Linked DNA regions of Caenorhabditis elegans. The protein of the gene in region 4 purifies or fractionates together with the protein of the main gene of each other region. This does not show direct contact. Each region holds a gene or a part of one and is shown on either strand. Other genes may lie near its edges.

Evidence for each region.
Region 1: the proteins of ndua-5 (region 4) and T02H6.11 fractionate together in Caenorhabditis elegans (co-fractionation; one large-scale study listed by BioGRID). This does not show direct contact.
Region 2: the proteins of ndua-5 (region 4) and nduv-2 fractionate together in Caenorhabditis elegans (co-fractionation; one large-scale study listed by BioGRID). This does not show direct contact.
Region 3: the proteins of ndua-5 (region 4) and cox-6A fractionate together in Caenorhabditis elegans (co-fractionation; one large-scale study listed by BioGRID). This does not show direct contact.

Annotation. Positions count from the first base shown.
Region 1 is NC_003280.10:698,882-703,591, reverse strand, and holds T02H6.11 (Cytochrome b-c1 complex subunit 7), read left to right. Parts: upstream 1-2,466; 5' UTR 2,467-2,474; coding exon 2,475-2,684; intron 2,685-2,733; coding exon 2,734-2,811; intron 2,812-2,859; coding exon 2,860-2,964; 3' UTR 2,965-3,110; downstream 3,111-4,710. Other genes in the region: thoc-1 (Death domain-containing protein), read right to left, coding at 1-5, 112-220, 585-691, 744-822, 886-1,004, 1,058-1,176, 1,222-1,361, 1,407-1,477.
Region 2 is NC_003283.11:13,624,125-13,627,568, reverse strand, and holds nduv-2 (putative NADH dehydrogenase [ubiquinone] flavoprotein 2, mitochondrial), read left to right. Parts: upstream 1-2,001; 5' UTR 2,002-2,019; coding exon 2,020-2,211; intron 2,212-2,257; coding exon 2,258-2,629; intron 2,630-2,656; exon of another isoform or gene 2,657-2,673; coding exon 2,674-2,829; 3' UTR 2,830-2,944; downstream 2,945-3,444. Other genes in the region: F53F4.12 (Thioredoxin domain-containing protein), read right to left, coding at 355-539, 638-1,082, 1,130-1,348, 1,397-1,522; F53F4.11 (Ribosomal L1 domain-containing protein), read left to right, coding at 3,048-3,444.
Region 3 is NC_003281.10:5,078,726-5,084,352, reverse strand, and holds cox-6A (Cytochrome c oxidase subunit 6A, mitochondrial), read right to left. Parts: upstream 2,628-5,627; 5' UTR 2,619-2,627; coding exon 2,483-2,618; intron 2,416-2,482; coding exon 2,264-2,415; intron 1,595-2,263; coding exon 1,496-1,594; 3' UTR 1,366-1,495; downstream 1-1,365. Other genes in the region: cah-1 (Putative carbonic anhydrase-like protein 1), read left to right, coding at 37-149, 503-683, 735-956, 1,004-1,147; alh-1 (Aldehyde dehydrogenase domain-containing protein), read right to left, coding at 3,848-3,936, 3,998-4,744, 4,791-5,068, 5,410-5,606. UniProt on the Caenorhabditis elegans protein: Component of the cytochrome c oxidase, the last enzyme in the mitochondrial electron transport chain which drives oxidative phosphorylation.
Region 4 is NC_003282.8:9,522,146-9,527,407, forward strand, and holds ndua-5 (putative NADH dehydrogenase [ubiquinone] 1 alpha subcomplex subunit 5), read right to left. Parts: upstream 2,755-5,262; 5' UTR 2,746-2,754; coding exon 2,494-2,745; intron 2,444-2,493; coding exon 2,345-2,443; intron 1,827-2,344; coding exon 1,725-1,826; 3' UTR 1,611-1,724; downstream 1-1,610. Other genes in the region: elo-1 (Long chain fatty acid elongase 1), read left to right, coding at 4,242-4,388, 4,848-5,028, 5,254-5,262.

The DNA.
Region 1 (4,710 bases), on a different chromosome or scaffold from region 4:
AAATCCTGAAAAAAAGGGATTTTTGGCGATTTTCAGTTAGAATTTGTGGAATTTCAGCGATTTTTCCGGCCAAAAAACCTCAATTTTCAGTGATTTTCAGCGAAAAATTACCGTTTTAAACGTCAAAAACTTCTCCTTTTCGTATATTGAATTCGGATTTGACATGAATTTTTGAAGGGACCAAAACTGGCGATACATCTCGGGAGTTACTTGGATTTCTCTGAAAAATGAGCAAATATTCGAAAAATCATGTAAAAAATGCTCAAAACTGCGATTTTCTAGCTTAAAAAGTCAATTTTCAGTACGAAAACCGTCTGAAATCGCTGAAAATCCAAGTTTTTCAATTAAAAAACCATTTGGTCTGCTAATTTGTAGTTTGTAGTCTAGCAGACCCATTCTCTACAACACCACATGGGTCTGCTAAATCGAAACTTGTAGTTTGTAGTCTAGCAGACCCATTCTCTTCAAAACCACATGGGTCTGCTAAATCGAAATTTGTAGTTTGTAGTCTAGCAGACCCAAAAAATTCAGGTAAATGATATTTTTCAGTGGAAATTTCTCGCTTTTTTCCGATTTTTCCGTACTTTGAGTTATCCTCTTCGATTTCTCCAGTTTCCATATCCTCTGCTCCTTCCGTAGGTGTTGGAGCCGATGACGTGGCAGCGAGAAGAGCTTCACCGTCGGTTTCAGACTGAAATTTTGCGATTTTTTGCGATTTTTCAGTCCAAAAACCGAAAAAATACCTCGTCGTAGTTGGTAACGTTAAGCGTGTTGAAGTGTCCCATAAAGTTTACACCGGATTTTTCGGTTAGCGGGAGGAATCTGGAAAAAATTGAGTTTTTCGCAGGAAATTTTGGGATTTTTCGAAAATGTTTCGCTTTTTACCTCGAGAGAAAGAACATAATTCTTCCGCAGAACGATGTTTCAGCGGTTCTACTCAAGCGGCGGAGCAAATCGTTGCAGAAGCGTAGAATATTGTTCTGGGCGGTTTCAATGAAGCCGGGCTGCAAAAAATCCGCTTTTTATCGGGAAAATTCTTTGAAAACCGGCTTTTTACCTGCTTAAACTCGTTCATATTCTCTTCTACTATGCTGAAAATCTGCTTACACTCCTCAATTGAGCTCATCTCCAAGAGGTCCTGTAGAGTGCTCAGGGGAGTGTTTTTGGAGCACAAACCTGCAAAAAACTCATTTTTAAACGAAATTTCGAGAAAATAATTACCAAGCTTGGAGCAATTCATCACAAAATGAAAATGCCGCCTTGCAAGCTCTTCCTTGGTGGCTGAAGGCTGCTCGGCGACCTTGAATCCCCGCTTTTTCAGAAACCCGTCGACTTTTAGAAGCACAAATTCGTCGTCTTTCCTGTAAAATTGCATTATTTATCTGATAATTCTTTTAAAAACTCACGCAGTCTTTTTTTCCGCCTTCACAACCTCCTTTAACCCGTCCAAATCCCGATTTTCGATAACTGTCTCCATTTTTTGACCTAAAACATTAAAATTGACGGGTGAAAGTTGAGAGATTAACGACTAAAATTTTTTATTTGTTTATTTTCGCAATTTTAAAATAGAAAATCAATAGAAATCGGTTCAATTTAATGAAAAAATTAATTAATTCGAAAAAAAAATTATCGAAAAAAAATCACTTGCAACGAAGCTCCGAAATAACGAGGCGCGTGTTGTTTACCGTAAATCAAACTTCAGCCAATTTTCTTATTTTTTTTTCACAAAATACTCATCCGGCAACGTTTCTGGTGAAAAATCTGAATTCATCAAGTTCTAAGGAGTATTTTAACATAGTAAACTTTGAAAAAACATATTATCTATCTGCTACATGGCGTTAGTTAAAAATAAAATACTTCAATTTCCCTTTAATCGATTCCTATGAAATTTTTCTTTAGTTTATTAGAAAAAACCATCATAAAATGTGTATTTTAACTTCAAAAAATTAGGTTCTCAATGCTTGAAAGCTTGAGAAAATTAATTTCCAAAAATTTGTTCACAACGATGCTCCGAAATAACACCCTGCGTGTTGTTTAGCGACACCGCCGAATTCATAATTTTCCTTTTCATTCGGTTTTCTTTGATTTTTAGCTGGAAATTCCGATTTTTTTTGCATTTTAAGCACAAAAATCAGCTTTATGAGGTTTTCTGACAGTTTTAATGCGTAAATTTGTAAAATAACTCGAGAAATCGCTTGGAATCTGATTTTTGAGAATTTTTTGCATTATCTTTGTTTTTGCCGGATTTTTAAGAGTTTTCAATGATAATTGTGCATTTTTGCCTAATTTTTTGCTTGTTATAAGTGACTTTATGTAAAAAATCTCAAGAAAATCATTTAAAATCCGAGAAATTGAGCTAAAAATCGATATTTCCCGAAAAACATGTGAAAACTTGTATTTTTTCAGTTTTTCTTCAGCTTTTCCCCAGAATTCCCCACTAATTTTCTTTTATTTTTTTCTTTTCAGGTAACGAAATGGCCAGTCAAGCCGCCTCAAAAGCCGTCACCTTCGCCTACAACGGCACGATCGCCAGCACGCTTCGCAAGTTCGCATGGAGCAACTTGTGGGGAGGACGCGAGTACGGGCTCCAATTCCACGACACCTACTTTGAGCCGGCTCCAGAAGTCACCGAGGCTCTCAGACGCCTTAATCTCCAGGAGCCACACGTTTTCGATCAGAGAAAGGTGAGAAAATCGATTAAAAATTGGAATTTTCAATCTTTTTTTACTTCAGATCCGTCTTTCACGTGCCCACACTTTGGCTCTCCACGGCGAGAAGCTTCCAAAGGCTGAATGGACTCAATGGGATCAGGTAGCTTTTCACTCGAAATTCAACTTTAAAAAATCTATTTTTCTTCAGGAATCGTGGTACTTGAAGCCATATTTGGACGAGATCGAGGCAGAGAAGAAGGCTCGCGCCGAGACATCCGGACTCATTCCACCATACCAAATGAAGCAACATTAGATTCTTCGAATTCTTCAAAATTATAATTTTCCGCGCCCTTTTTTTTCGTCTTTTTCTGTTAAATCACCTCTCTCAACCACGTTTTTCTCGGCATTCTAGCGGGAAAATCGTGTGAATTTTGAAATTGTGAGTAAATTTTGAGTTAGAAATTCGATTTTTTTTTGTTGTTTCACAGTCAAATCAAACGCGAATTTTTTCAGAATTTCAGACAAATCAGATGATTCAAGTGTCTGCTAGGCTACAAACTACAAATTTCGATTTAGCAGACCCAAGTGATTTTGAAGAGAATGGGTCTGCTAGGCTACAAACTACAAATTTCGATTTAGCAGACCAATGGGTTTTTTAATTGAAAAACTTGGATTTTTTGCGTTTTCAGACGGTTTTCTCACTGAAAATTAACTCCTTAGCCTGGAAAATCTCGATTTAAAGCAATTTTTACAAAATTTTCACTTCTAATCTCCAAATATTCCTCATTTTTAAAAAATATTTTTCAGAGAAATCCAAGTGACTCCAGAGATGTATTGAAAATTGGTCTGCTAGACTACAAACTACAAACTTCGAAACTTCAAATCGTGACATTTTATTCGATAACCAGCCGATGACCGCGCCTCCGGCGCGGCCAACGACTGGCGGAGTTTAAAATGTATAACAAATAGATGTCCTTTTAATCATTCAAAAATGTCTCATTAAAAAAAATTGAAACTTCATCGATTAAATCGCATTTTCTCCTTCCATGGTATACTATTCAGAAAATTCAAAGAGACAGTTAGAATGTTCTGATTTTTCTACTACACATTATCATTATCAGGCTTTCGAAAAAATTCCACAGGGTTACAGTTTTTTTAATAAGTTAACAACTTTCCTTAACTGGAGAAGTCTGAATAATTAACTACTAATAGTAAGTTCTTTGAATATAGATGTAACGAAACAAATAAAAACTCCTACAGTTTTAGGAGGTTGTAGAGCATTTCAGAACTTTTTTAAATTTTCCAGATGATTCTAGAACAGTCTAGAATTTTCTTGAAACTTCCAGAAGGTGCTGAAACAAAAAAATTGATTCCAGAACAAAAATTTGGATTTCCCGCCAAATGTTTTCCTCAGAAAATTTGAATTTCCCGCTAAAATTTCTTTTCTCATAAATTTTGAAGTTCCCGCCCATATTTTTAAGGGTCTCACCACGATAGGTCTCGCCAGTTCCAGGTGGTACTTAAGCTAACAAAAAGTTTCTCAGAAAATTTGAATTTCCCGCCAAAAATTTTTTCTCAGAAATTTGAATTTCCCGGCAAAATGTTTTTCACTGAAAATTTGAAATTCCCGCCAAAATGTTTTTCACTGAAAATTTGAATTTCCCGCCAAAATTTTTTTCACTGAAAATTTGAATTTCCCCCAAAATTTTTCTCACAGAAAATTTGAATTTCCCGCCAAAACTTTTTCACTGAAAATTTGAATTTCCCGCCAAAATTTTTTTTCACTGATTTGAATTTCCCGCCAAAATTTTTTTCACTGAAAATTTGAATTTCCCGCCAAAAATTTGGGTCTCACCACGAAGGGTCTCACCACGATGGGTCTCATCACGATGGGTCTCACCACGATGGGTCTCGTCACGATGGGTCTCGTCACGATGGGTCTCACCACGAAGGGTCTCACCACGAAGGGTCTCACCACGATGGGTCTCACCACGATGGGTCTCACCACAATGGGTCTCACCACGATGGGTCTCACCACGAAAGGTATCGTCACGATGGG
Region 2 (3,444 bases), on a different chromosome or scaffold from region 4:
AAATTCAAGAAAAGTATATTCGGACCTGACTGAACCGTAAGTTGAAAATACGTTAATTGTGAAACTTTTTGAAATTTTTTTTTTTTGAGAAAAAAAACTAAAAAGGAGAAAATAAGGAAACTGCGTCAAAACAACAATTGACAGGGAGGCGGAAAAGAAAAGCAACAAAAAAACCAGCTGATGAATGGTGAAAAATAATGTGAATGGGTGAAACGGGAGGGTGCAGAGAAGCGAAACAGACTTCATGTCACGTGTTGACGGCCTTTGCACAAATTGGGAATCTAATTACATGTAATTGCATAAAACTGTGAAATTCCAACAAATGTTACAAAATATGAAGGCTAGAAATGTACTTTAAAGTTCAATGCTATACGCCACTTGTTGCTGGTCACCCGAAATGAGCTCTTCATCGTCGAATACGTGTTCTCTAGCTTCTTCTTCAATCTCTACATCCTCATAATAATCTATTGAATGATGATGAGAATCATGATGATGATGCTGGTGTGGAAGAACTTGCGAAGCCATGCCCGTGCGGACGTCTGAAAAAATAAACGTTTCAGAAGACTTTTGAAAAGGAATGAAATTCTGAAAAGCTAGACGTTGTCCTTGATGTAAGAATCGAATCGTAAAAACTTACAATACATGGGCGGCAATGGTCGTACCAAAAGAGGCTGTTGCGTTGGAGATGAAAATGGTGGAAACTTGCTCGCTGCTTTCCGACGTTTTCTGGGTGTTTCTTGAAAATCTTCCTGAACTTCCCCAGTTTTTTCATTTATTTTGTTCGATGACCTGTCATCTTTGACCTGCTGATGTTGAACTGAAGAAGAAGAACCTTCTCCATGTTCCAATATTCCTTCTTCGTTGTCTCGAAATTGAGCTTGCGTAGCTTCTTTTCTCTTTTTACACATTCTTCGCTTATTAACACCATGTAAAAGCGGTAGACATTTCGCACCGAGTGTCCGTTGTACCTCTCGTTTTTCTTTCCCGTTCAATGGGATCGGTGCTGTGGATGCAGCTTCTTTTGCAAAATGTTGAATGGTTTCACGAATTTGTGCACTATTCGGTTCTTCGTGTCCATGCATCTGAATATAACACCATGCAACTTGAAACAGGTTTATAAAGAACTTACATGTACAAAATCAATTCTAGCTCTATCAACTACTGCTTCGAGATGACCTTTTCCGTTACAAAAATGCTCAGCATTGAGGGGTCTCTCTGGATCTTCCTTGATGATATCGTTGTCTACTAGGATCAACGGAACTTTCCGCTTCAGTTCAGCACCTAAATTTCGATAACCATTCTTCACTTTTGAGCATGATACACATTTCCAAGAAACTAGTCCAGGTATCTGAAAACTAATTAAATATAGAAATACTTGATTTAAAGAAAAATTCACCTTATATTTCGTTGCGATCATAAATTCATAAACTTTGTTACGGTCTGTTCGACTTGTGTAAATGAGTACAGGGTTTTTCCGATGGCGTCCGCTAACATACGTTGCTTCGCCGAAGTTTTCTGACATCTATAAAACTTTAATTTTGATGAAATTAAACAATTAATATGCGCTCTACTACTAATAGTGATCAGAAGCAGTTAAAAAGATTCGAAAATTCTATAGGTTTCTAATTTAAATATGCGTGAAAGTTAAAGAAGAATTCTTCTTTAAATTTCTTCAAAGAAAACAAAAAAAAACAAAAAACGAAAAAATAATAATAAAACGACACTCCGATATGCCATCTCACGCTTAGTTTATCGTAAACATACACCATGGCCGGCGATTTCGAAAAGAAAGGAACTAGTCCCTTCTGAATGTCCGCCCATTTTCAGGCCCTATTTTCAGCTTTTCCCAGTTATCCTGATGAATTTCCGTTGAAAATAATATTATTTTCTAATTCAGCGTATTCATTTACATATAACCAGTAGTTCTACCCTAAGAAGATGTTGCTTTTTCTTGTGAAAAATCATAAATTATCGTTTTTTTATGAAGAAATCAATTTTCAGGTGATCGGCCTGCAAAAGATGTCGTTGGCATCGAACGTGCTGCTCCAGGCGTCACGCCTTGGTGAAATGGTGATCAAGCGAGGCGGAGCTACTGGATTGATGGTTCACCGAGACACTAAAGAAAATAATTTGAATGTCAAATTCAAATTCACTTCGGAAAATCAAGAGAGAATTAAGGCTATCATGGATATTTATCCAGAAGGACATAAAGTGAGATTATACTTTAATGCTGGTTTTTTCAATCAGTTTTATTCAGGCTGGTGCTCTTATTCCACTTCTCGATTTGGCTCAGCGGCAACATGGCTGGCTTCCAATTTCAGCCATGCATGAGGTTGCTAAAATTTTAGAAGTACCAAGAATGCGTGCTTATGAAGTTGCCACTTTCTACACCATGTTCAACAGGCAACCAGTAGGAAAGTATTTCCTCCAGGTCTGCGCAACTACCCCATGCATGCTTCGAGGAGCTGAAACCATCACGGAAACTATTGAGAAGAAACTTGGCATTCATGCCGGAGAAACAACAAAAGATGGACTCTTCACATTGGCGGAAGTAGAGTGCCTTGGAGCATGTGTCAATGCTCCAATGATTCAAATTAACGACGATTATTTCGAGGACCTGACACCAAAGGTATAAAAATATCAATGCGTTAACAAAATTATGTTAGTTTTCAGGATGTGAACGAGATTCTTGACGATCTTAAAGCAGGACGTAAACCAGCTGCTGGACCAAGATCCGGGCGCCTAGCCGCTGAGCCATTCGGAGAGCTTACTTCTCTCAAAGAAACCCCGCCTGGACCTGGATTCGGTTTGCAAGCTGCTCTTAAATAAACGCTTGGACATGCTTGAATTTATTTGTAGATTCCATCTTTATCAGATCCTTGGTTTTTAAAAATCCTAATTTTCGTTTTTAATTTTGCGATTTAGAGTAAAGTGTATTCAATGTATTTATCTGATGATTTTCTTTTTCATGATCTGCGGTTTGCATTCCGTTTCTTTATACTTATCAAATTTCTTTTTGTTTTAAAATTTTTAATTGTTATTTTAAGATGGGTAGAAAGAGCACCAAGAACACTCCTGCGAAGAATGTCGTCGCCGATGTGCCAGAGAAGGACGAAGAAGTCGTTGTTCCACCGAAGACACCAGCCAGGTCCCCAAAGACTAGAGCTCAGAAATCACTAGCAGCAGGAGGTGCTACTCCAGCTCCAAAAACACCGGCTCCAAAAACTCCATCGCGAACTACCAAATCGACTGTGGATACACCAGCACCAAAGACACCAACTCGTGCTGCAAAAACTCCAGTCGTCAAGACTCCAGCTGCAAAAACGCCAGCCAAGAAGGCGCCAGGCGTTCAAACCGTTCCTAGTAGCGATGAGGAGGAGGAAGATGATGAGCTGCAGGTTGTGAAGTCAGTTGCTCCTTCAGTTGAAGTTGCGAAGAAGGAAG
Region 3 (5,627 bases), on a different chromosome or scaffold from region 4:
ATCATAATATTTCACGCGCAAGTTCCACAACTTCAGGTTGTCTCAGAATTTGTGAACACCGGTCAAATGGTTCGTGTTCGAATAGGATATTCCTCTAAAAAACCATCCGTCAATATTACAAGTGGTCCATTATACGGTTATAGGTATCGGTGAGTGAAATGATTTTTAGATCGAGGTGCAAACGCGCTCCACGGTCAAATGTAAAGGCTCCACCCTCTAAAGTTGGGTCCCGTTAGGTATTGGCGGCAAAACCATAATTTCAAACATTTTCAAGCATTTTTAAATATGTTTATGTTGTTTTAAGGCTCTTTTAGTTGAAGTGGTGTGCAAAAAAAATTATTGACGTTATTAAGAGTTTGAATTCACAAGTTTTCGCCAATTCCTAACGAGACCCAACTATTTGGGGGCGGAGCGTTTTCATTTGGCTATAGAGCGCGCTTTCACCTCGATTTCAAAAACGAAGTTTTAAGAACCCGCGTGATATACCATTCAAGCTTTACAGGGTTCAACGAATCGATTTTCATATGGGTCGTAAAAATGAGAACGGAAGTGAGCATACAATAAATGGACGACGATTTCCGATGGAAGTACAATTAGTTGCATATAATACAGATTTGTATCCAAATTTTACGAGCGCCTCCAAGTCTCCACATGGAATTGCAATTTTATCAGTTTTGGTAGATGTGAGTTGCTTCGTTAGAAATTGTGTTAAATCTCAAATTTATATATTTTAGTTTGGACCTGAAACTAATCAAGAACTCATCAAACTAACAATTGCAACAGCTAGCATCAGTTACAAGGATCAACGTGTCCAACTTGCTGATTTCGAACCTTGGCGACTTCTTCCATTCACTAGAGATATTATCACTTATGAAGGATCTCTCACTTCTCCTGGATGCCATGAGACTGTCACTTGGATTATTCTGAATCAACCTATTTTTATCAAAAAGGAGCATGTAAGTTTTTTAATAGTCTATAAAAAACTTTGATTCTAAATTTACAGTTCGAGGAGTGGTCACACTTATATCTGAGCATGGAAGGCGCCGAGAAAGTCCCCGTTGCCCCAAATTTCAGGAAAATTCAAGAAACTAACAATCGACTAGTAAGAACAAATATTCAGCACAAGGTTTGGATATTTCTTTCATAAAAATATCTGAAGAAAATTATTTGAATTCCAGATGAGCTACAATTGCAATGTCTCAGTGAATAAAATCCACTATCGTGCAAATCATTTGCCACTGCCAAAACAACAGCATTCTTCTCGTCGCCACAATAATCCATTTGTCTGAAAAGAAAACTCCCGACTTTGCTCAAAGATTTCTCACGAATATTTTTCAAATTGTTCTTGTTTTGCAATAATTTTTTCGACTTTTTATACAATTCTGAAACTACACTTGCGCAAAACATGTCTCGTTTTGTTAAACTAAACAACTCGAAGCACACACACAAATGGATGACGTTAAATATGATGATTAATTGTATCGTCCAGCATTGTTTAGTGCTTCTCACGGTCAGCCTCGAATCCAACTCCTGGAACAAATTGCTCCGCCTTGTTGTGGAACAATGAGTGATTTCCATCGGACCATGGGAATGGCTGAAATTGAATATTTATTAGGAATGCATTTTCAGAATGGATTGATTGATTTTCAAGAAAAAAATGTTGGCGATTCTAAATTGCAAAAAAGTAGGAAAGTTTTTGCTAAAATCTTTAATTTTGTCAACTTTTCTGTGTTGCAAACGTCGGAAATGAGTATTTATTTTATTATCATCCTTTTTTCATGTTTTGGTTGTTAATTTTACGTTATTCCGTCGATTTAGGTCAATTTTAGTCTGATAGACCAAAACAATAATTCAATAAAACTGTATTCCAGCAGCTGCAACTAGAACATGTTGGCTAAATTGGAGATTTAGCTAAAATTTTTCTTACTCTTTTTTTGAAATTTTTAACCATCTTGGGAATTTATTGAGACCAATCGTTTTTTTTAATTACTGAGAAAACGCCAAATTATAAAATTGTATAATCATTTAAAAGCTTGATTGTAGAAATTAAAATTCCAAAAAAGCGACTGTTTTTTTTTTAATTCGTTTTGAATATTATTAAACTTCACAGTCATCCTTTTTAGTTTGAAAAATGCCAGAAAGATGACATTTTTAAACAGTTTGCCGATAACTTCTTTAATGAGGAAGACATGAAAGCTAAATAACATTTTTTAAGTAAAATTTTAAACTATGGCAGATTTCAAGATAAAAACGAATATTTTACCTTGTTGCGAACGTTCAAGAAGGCGTACTCGACGTGCTCTGGGCGTTCGTGGCTCATGTGTTTTTTGTGATCCTTGAAGGCGGCATACATGGTAAGAGCCAAGCATGGAATCGAAGCAATGAAGAAGATTTTCTTCCAGGTCTCGCTAGCATCTGAAAAATATATTTTAATCTTTGAACATCAAAATAGAAACTATTTATTTTAAAAAAAAACACTTACTGTGAGCTTGCTTGAGTGGAGTGACATATGACTCTTTGAATCCTTCGACATTGTTGGATCCGTAAAATGATCCTGAGGATTTGCGTTGGAAGGTCTTGACGACCGAGCGGGTAGCTGGTTGAGCGAGACGGTTCATGTCGGATACCTTTAAAATTTGAAATGAAGTTGAGATTTGTGAGAAAAACGGAACGCGGGGGGAGAAGGAGGGGGAACAAACTTGTTTACGTGAAAATTGAGAAAAAAAGAGAAAAATCAGGTGATTTGATGAAAAAGTACAAAATTGTGATTTTTAAATCAGAAAAAGCAATAAAACAAACTCACAAAATAAAAACAAATGAGGTTTTTCTTACGTCTTAAGAAACCTAATAATTGCTATGAAGAATTTTAGAAATTTAAACCCGACAATAATGATTGAATGACATGGTTGAACACTTGCAGATTTGAATTCGAAAAAGTGGAATTTCTAGTCGAACAATATCGATTTACGGCTGCGGTTTATATGCTATTGTGGTTAAAAAATTCATAATTTGTAATTTAATCATTTGAAACTCAAAAATAATCAATAAAAGCACTGTTTGTGAAGTAAAACCACAGAAACGCACGTTTCCTCAAGAGAAAATAACGGAGAGGCCGTCTTCGCTGCGAGACCAGCCGGTGAAATGGCGTGCGCCTTTAAGGTGTGTGAAATAATTGTGCTGCAACATGCTGTCTAATTTGCCTATTATCTCCGTTAGAAATGCTTCAAATTTTCTGAAACTTTGTTACCTGTTAAAACATGACATGTAGAACGAACACATAAAAAATTATTAATATCGATTCATTGGCTAAAAAGTTATTGACGGAAATAAGTATCAAGTTTTGGTTCGATTCTTGCCCTTTTTGAGTTGCTTGACGGAGAATTGCGGAACCCACGAGATGTCTGCCGCCTTGCAGGTGGCCACTATATAAGCAACAACTGGTCCTGGCTGTCTCGTTCTTCCGAGAACATATACTAAAATTGGAACAATACAGAGAAGATTAGCATGGCCCCTGCGCAAGGATGACACGCAAATTCGTGAAGCGTTCCAAATTTTTTTTAAAATTTCGCGTAACCTACCGGAAGCTCGTAAAATTTTTGCCTTTTGAAGATTTTACGACTGATCCTCTAATGTACAGAGTAATAATTCGTTTGTCCTGAATCAATCAATTCACAAAGAAGTCGAGACTTTTATGAGTCGTCCTGTAGGTGTCTATTTCTTTCAGAATTCTTTTTCAATATATGTGAAAAATAGATAAATACAACACGTATATTAAGAGCAATAAACATTTTTCAAAAAAAAAAGCAAAAGGAACAAAAATTACAGGGAAAGCGAAAATTCAAGAAATTTATGAGTTCTTCTGTGGAACCTTGATGGTGACAGTCTTTACTTCAGTGTATGCCTCAAGACCATATTCTCCGAGTTCGCGACCGATTCCTAAAAGAAAAAGTATTTTTTAACTTTGGCATGGAGAAATTTTAATAATAAATTAGCTTACCGGACTGCTTGAATCCTCCGAATGGAGCAGCAGCATCGAACACATCGTAACAATTAACCCAGACAGATCCAGCTCTGGTTGCGTTGGCAATATGAAGTGCCTTATCAATATCCTTAGTCATAACTCCAGCAGCCAATCCATAAATAGTGTTATTAGCCTTTTCAACTAATTCTTCCATTGTGTCGAATCTAATGATAGTCATAACAGGTCCAAAGATTTCTTCTTGAGCAATAGTCATCTGATCCTTAACATTAGCGAAGATAGTTGGCTTCACAAAGTGTCCTTGATCTCCGTGTTTGGCTCCTCCAGTCACCAATTGAGCTCCATCCTTCTTTCCAGCAGCGATATATTTTAAAATAGTCTCAACCTGCTTTCCGTCAACTTGTGGTCCTTGAGTAGTTTTCAAATCAAATGGATCTCCGATAACAGCCTTCTCGGCCAATTCCTTGGAACGAGCTACGAAATCATCATAGATCTTTCCTTCGACAAATGTTCTGGATCCGGCACAACAGCACTGTCCTTGATTGAAGAAGAGTCCGTGGTTGGCTTGATGAACGGAATCATTGAGATCAGCGTCAGCGAAAATGATGTTTGGTGATTTTCCTCCGAGTTCCAAAGTGACCTTCTTGACATTCGATTCTGCAGCAGCCTTCATAACAAGTCTTCCAACTTCAGTTGATCCAGTAAAAGCGACTTTGTCAACATCCATGTGCGACGAAATAGCTTGTCCGGCAGTATGTCCGTATCCTGGAATTTATTTATTTGAGAAACTCACAATTTTTACAAAACTGACCTGGAATGATATTAACCACTCCATCTGGGAATCCAGCTTCTTTTGTGAGAGCAGCCACGTGAAGGGCTGAAAGTGGAGTCTGTTCGGCGACCTTCATAACGACTGTGTTTCCCATAGCCAACGCTGGTCCAAGTTTCCAAGCTTGCATAAGAAGTGGGAAGTTCCATGGAATAATCTGTCCGCAGACTCCCACCGGTTCGTGACGAGTGTAAGTGAAGTAGTCACCCTCGATTGGAATAGTCTTTCCGTGATTCTTGTCAGCCCATCCGGCGTAATAACTGTAATAAAGTTATTTTTTAATGTTAGCCATTTTTCCTTTTTTTACAATAAATTTTAATTTTTCTCATCAATACAAACAAAATTTGATTCAAAAAATTGCATTTTTTGGCTGTTAATTTTCTAAACAGTTTTTTTTGATTTACGGTTGTCCGGACAATCAAAAATTTTTGTTTTTCGATTTTTTTCTCTCATAAAATTGAGAATTCGAAATTATTTTTGTAGATCTCTTTGCTCATTTGGCAGTAAAGTTTTTCGTTTTTTCTGAGTTTTCTTCTTAATTACAGACTATTTTGGGATTTTTTTACAGCAAAATTCTCCAATTTATGCTATTCGAACTCACCGAAGAGTCTTGATAGAAAGTGGCAGATCAGCATTGTAAGCAACTGCATATGGCTTTCCATTATCCAAAGATTCCAAAGATGCCAAAATAACTCGATCTCTCTCCATTAAATCAGCTAGTCTATTCAGAAGAACTCCACGTTGAGAAGCATCCATTCGTCTCCACTCACTGCCGATACGGAATGCATTTTGAGCAGCCTAGAAAAGTTTGAAGATTGC
Region 4 (5,262 bases):
AAAAAGAACACGCTATTTTAGTATCTACTCTCCCTTGATTAACTTCTGTTTTCCAAGAAACTCCAGAAGGAGTCGAAGAGTTTGATAATGGAAAAGAGTTGGCATGTTTCTAAATTGGCAAAATTACAGACAAAATGCTGGAAAAGTGAAGTAGTTAAATATTTATGCCACGCTGTGAGCAATTAAGAAGAAGCTACACGTTCAGAATGGCGAGAAACGCTCTCAAGTCGTTCTCAGCGTGTCGAGTCTTCCAAAATTATTTTAAACTGGGAACCTCTTCATAATAATGTTGGATAAAAGTGCTTTCTATGTTTAAATAGGGGTCGAAACTCGTGTAATCTTCATAACCACGTCTCGATTGACTTCTGGAAAATGTGGGGATGTGACGTCACGCATGATTATTCTATGAATCACAAAATCATTACAAAGTGATGCGCGGGACGTCCCCGAGAAAGAGAACCTGCACCGTCCTATATTAGGTATACGTCTAGAGATCAGTCTTTTCGCTAAGTCTTAAACGCATGGGTCTCGTCACGCTTACAATATATATACTCGTTAACGAGTTACTGTAATTAGAGTCTATATGGTTTTGCTACATCTTTTTATTTAAAATTCTTTGCAGTAATTTTTTATTCAATTTGAAAATTATAATACATCCGAGGCCAATAAAATAGAAGTAGTTACAGTAATATTAAATCGTTGTTAGCGTGGAAGATATGGCGAAAAGTCTCACGACGATTTTTCGGATTTCTAAAAAAGCTTCTACCAATCTCTAAATAAATTAAATATTTTCATTCAGACTGTACGAGCAAAACGGAATAGTTTAGTTGTATAATACAATTGTTGAAAATTGACTGCTCAAAAAATATTCGGTGGAACAAGAACAATATACAATTTTTCAAAACAATGAGTGCTCGGCCCAATTATTTCAAGCGCGGGATTTAATGACTTGCAATACGAATTTTAAATGATCACCAACCAAAAAAATAAAAACTCTCTGAAAACAAAAATCGCAGGAAAAAGTTGAATTTTCTTACGAAAACAGAGAATGGAGGGATTCTCTCTCTCGAAACTCATCGTCTTCTTCTTCTTCTATTTCGTGGATTCTTTTCAAATCCATCCAAGTGTGAAATCGTCAGCAAAACCATCATTCCATCTCTGTTGCTTCGGTCCCAAGACGATGAGCTTCTACTACAAGCTCCGCCCACTTTTCGGGGAATCTCTTCTTCTTCTTCTTCCGCACATGACGTGTGAAACAGATTGTACTCCCAATTATCATGTCATTGTTTGGTACTTCTATTGAAAGAAAAAGAGGAAATAAAGGAAGACAAGTCACGAAACATACCAGATGAGCAATTTTAAAAACAGAAAAGTGGAGAAAGCTCATCGTGGCGGAGCACAAATGAGCTCTGAAGATGGCCAAGATATTTTACGACATCACCACCCAGAAACAAGGAAAACGGTGTGGTTCTCGCACTAACATAAATACAAAAAAAAAAAAATAAATATGAGAGGGTGAAGTACATATTTTCTTTCCTGATTGTGAATACGAAGAACCTCATCTGAATATTTGATTAGCATGCAATTTTTCCATTTCGCAGATTTGTTCAGCTTTTCTTTAGAATTCTAGAACACTATTTATAATTTTATATTCAGATGTGAAACAGAAAAAAAATGTTAAAATGTGATCTACAAGAAAAATTAATGAGAAACTCGAAAATTCTCTAGACTGGCCACGACCATTGTCCCTTTGGAGCAGATTCGACGAGAGGCTCCCATGCTTTTGAATCAACAATTGCTCGTGTTGTCTCCAGTTCATATTCGGCCTGTAATTATTGAGCATTTAAAATATTGCAGTGGTATTTATTTTTGAAACGAAAATTTTGTTATTCGGTGCAAAAATGATTTTAAAAAAATTTATTCTGATTTACGCGAAATATTTGTATCGGAAACTTTTAAACATTGACATATTAGAAACATCGTAGTCTTCGTGAACGCTGAGACCCGAAGAACTCGGGGGATTGCCCCGCCCACAGAACCGTGGCTTGCAATACGCCCATTTCTGCAACTGCCGCACGGTTTTAAAACTGTATTTTTATCAATAGAGCGAGGATTAACAAGAAAAAATGATTTTAAAACCGTGCGGCAGTTGCAGAAATGGGCGTATTGTAAGCCACGGTTCTGTGGGCGGAGCCAATCCCCCGAGTTGGTAATCCCCCCAGTTGGACATCCCCCGAGTTCTTCGGGTCTCTGAACGCTTTCAAATGAAAGCAACATTATGAAATATTTATAAATTCATTATTTTCATAGATATTCGATTATTTAACATTGAAACTTGACGCACCTGTTCGATGACTTCTTCGATTTGTCCCATTCCAATTTTCTCCTCAAGCTTCTTAATGTCGTTTTCGGCTTGAACAAGAGCCAAACGCTGCTTTACCACCTAAAAACATATTGCATAAGATTGCGGTAGAAACAATAATAATTTCTTACAGCTTCAGTATACTTGCGGTAAGCAGCATCCCGTGGAATTTGTTCAAGGGCGCGGAGAATTCTGCCATACACAACAGTCAACGCACGATGTGGATGCTCATTGACAAAAAGTCCAGTAATTCCTGTAGTCTTCTTGTGGAAATCCTCGGAAACCTTGCTCCTGGCCTTGAAACGGTTGATGTAAGGGTTCTCGTACATGGATCTCTGTTGTGTGGCACGAGCCACCGCCGTACGCAAGAAGCGGGACGACATCACCTGAAAAACAAATTTGAAAAATATTTATGAAAGAAAAACGCGAGTTTATTGCTTAAAAACTTATAAATCCGTTTCTAAGCGCGTTGCTTATCCATAACATATTTTAATTTCAATAAAACTTGTGATCAAGAAAGCGTTGAAAAGGTTTAAGAGTATAAAATCAAAGAAAATGTGTTTTTAAAAACAAAATAAATAAAAATCTGGTTAAAAATTAAACTGGGCAACGGAGTGTCGTTGCGCGCCTTGTTTATCAGTTGTTGAAAAATCGGCGCGTAGTTCAAATTTAGGTAGTGAAAAGTTTCCAATTGTTTTTACTAAATATATTTGCAACATCTCTTTGAGTAAAACAAACAAAATCATTAAATCTCTCCAAATTAGATCATGAATATAAAAATATAGAAAATAACCATTCTCGAGGCTAAAAAACTTTAAAATTTCTCTGCGTCTCTCTTTTAAAGCATTACAATACACTGTCCCTCAATCGGAGTGTCGTTACCGCGTGCAGTTTAGTGCTCCACGAATTAAATTTTTTTCGCATTATTTTTTATCCTTTTTTGTTTTGCTCTTACATTTTATTGAAAAAATACGTTATTTTCCTTTTCAGCTTGAAACTGGTCGACTTTTTATTTTGCAATCGGTAAAAAGCTATGCCTTCTTGTCTCAAAACGATCTCAAACTCGTAAAGAAAAGTTTTATATTATTGTATTGTTCCATTCAAATATTCTAAACTTTATTTAGAGCTTGTTTTACTAAAAATGTGTCATCATTTTGGACGCTCAGTTATCAACCATCATAAAAGTTGCAAGCATGGCTGGTTTGAAAAAAAAACTATTTACATAGCCCTTTTTGGTTTGAAGGAATACACAAAAATGCTTTCTTAAAATATTTTTTCTCAAAAGTTTCAACCATGAAATGTGGTTTCAATTCGCTTAATTTTTTCTGATCAAGATGATTCACTTGATTGAAAACATATGTCATGTTTGTTAATTAAACTGGTAGCATTACATTTTAGACCTCCATGCTTGGCTAGAAAACTAGACTCGATGAATCTACATGTTATATCAGCGTTCTCGTTTGTTTTCATTTATCTCCGTCTACAAAAAAGTCATGCCATCGCAAGTAATAAAAAATGCTCTCTTCGAAAAATTTCCTTTTCGGCAGGTTCTGGTCGAGGACACAAGAGACCTCTGATAAGAGTTGCTGTGGGTACGAAGGACGTTTTTCTCTATTTCTATACTCCATTTTTCTTTTCATTTCATTTGAATTCGATCCTCCACAAGGTCGATATGGGGTGATGGGGCGGAGCCATCGTTCTTTTTTCCCTTTTTCTTTTCCTCCATTTCATCTCTTTTTACTACTCCATATCGCCCTTTCACCCCGTCGACAGACGCGCCTGTTTACTATCCTATCTCTCGCACTTTTTGCAGACGGAAATTTATTTCTTTTTTTTTTTGAAACAATTATTTTTGCAGGTAGTTTATCTTGGGGAGAAGATGGCTCAGCATCCGCTCGTTCAACGGCTTCTCGATGTCAAATTCGACACGAAACGATTTGTGGCTATTGCTACTCATGGGCCAAAGAATTTCCCTGACGCAGAAGGTCGCAAGTTCTTTGCTGATCACTTTGATGTTACTATTCAGGTAAAATTTGTTTAGAATTAAAATTTTGATTATAGTTGTTTGGTTTATTGGAAATCCGAAGAATCCGAAATTGAAATATTTGTATAATTTATTAAATTTTTCCCAACACTAAACGAATTACAACCTATATTACAACAATTATTCAAAAAAAATTCTCAACCAAGAATGCAACTTCAAATTAATTTTGAATATTTTGAAAGTATTTTATTTCATAGGTTCTCTTTGGATAATCTTTCAAGAAATTTATTGCACTTGAAAACCAATGAGTTTCTTGAAAAATGGTCCGAACCTATAAAATTGAATATTTTTAAAAATATCCAGCATGTATTCGAAGCGTCTCTGAAACATGTTTGTATTCTTTACAATTTATTTTTGAGAATTCATTTTGAGATATTGAAAACTGGGTGTTTTCAATTTGGTGCATTTTCATCCCTCATTCAACCATATTTCATTTTCCAGGCTTCAATCCTGTACATGGTCGTTGTGTTCGGAACAAAATGGTTCATGCGTAATCGTCAACCATTCCAATTGACTATTCCACTCAACATCTGGAATTTCATCCTCGCCGCATTTTCCATCGCAGGAGCTGTCAAAATGACCCCAGAGTTCTTTGGAACCATTGCCAACAAAGGAATTGTCGGTGAGTACAATCAAAGAGAGTGTACCAAAGTACTAACGTTCTCTGATCAACCTGATTTTGATAGTGTCAGAACAATTAGTAGTCAGCATTATCGTGTTATCAAAAGTTGACGGGAATATTATGTTATCTGTGAAAAATTAAAAATACCAAAAAATAAAAAATATGTTCCAAAGTGACAAAATAGAATACATTCCACTTTCCTGCAAAAATTAAATATAATTTCAGCATCCTACT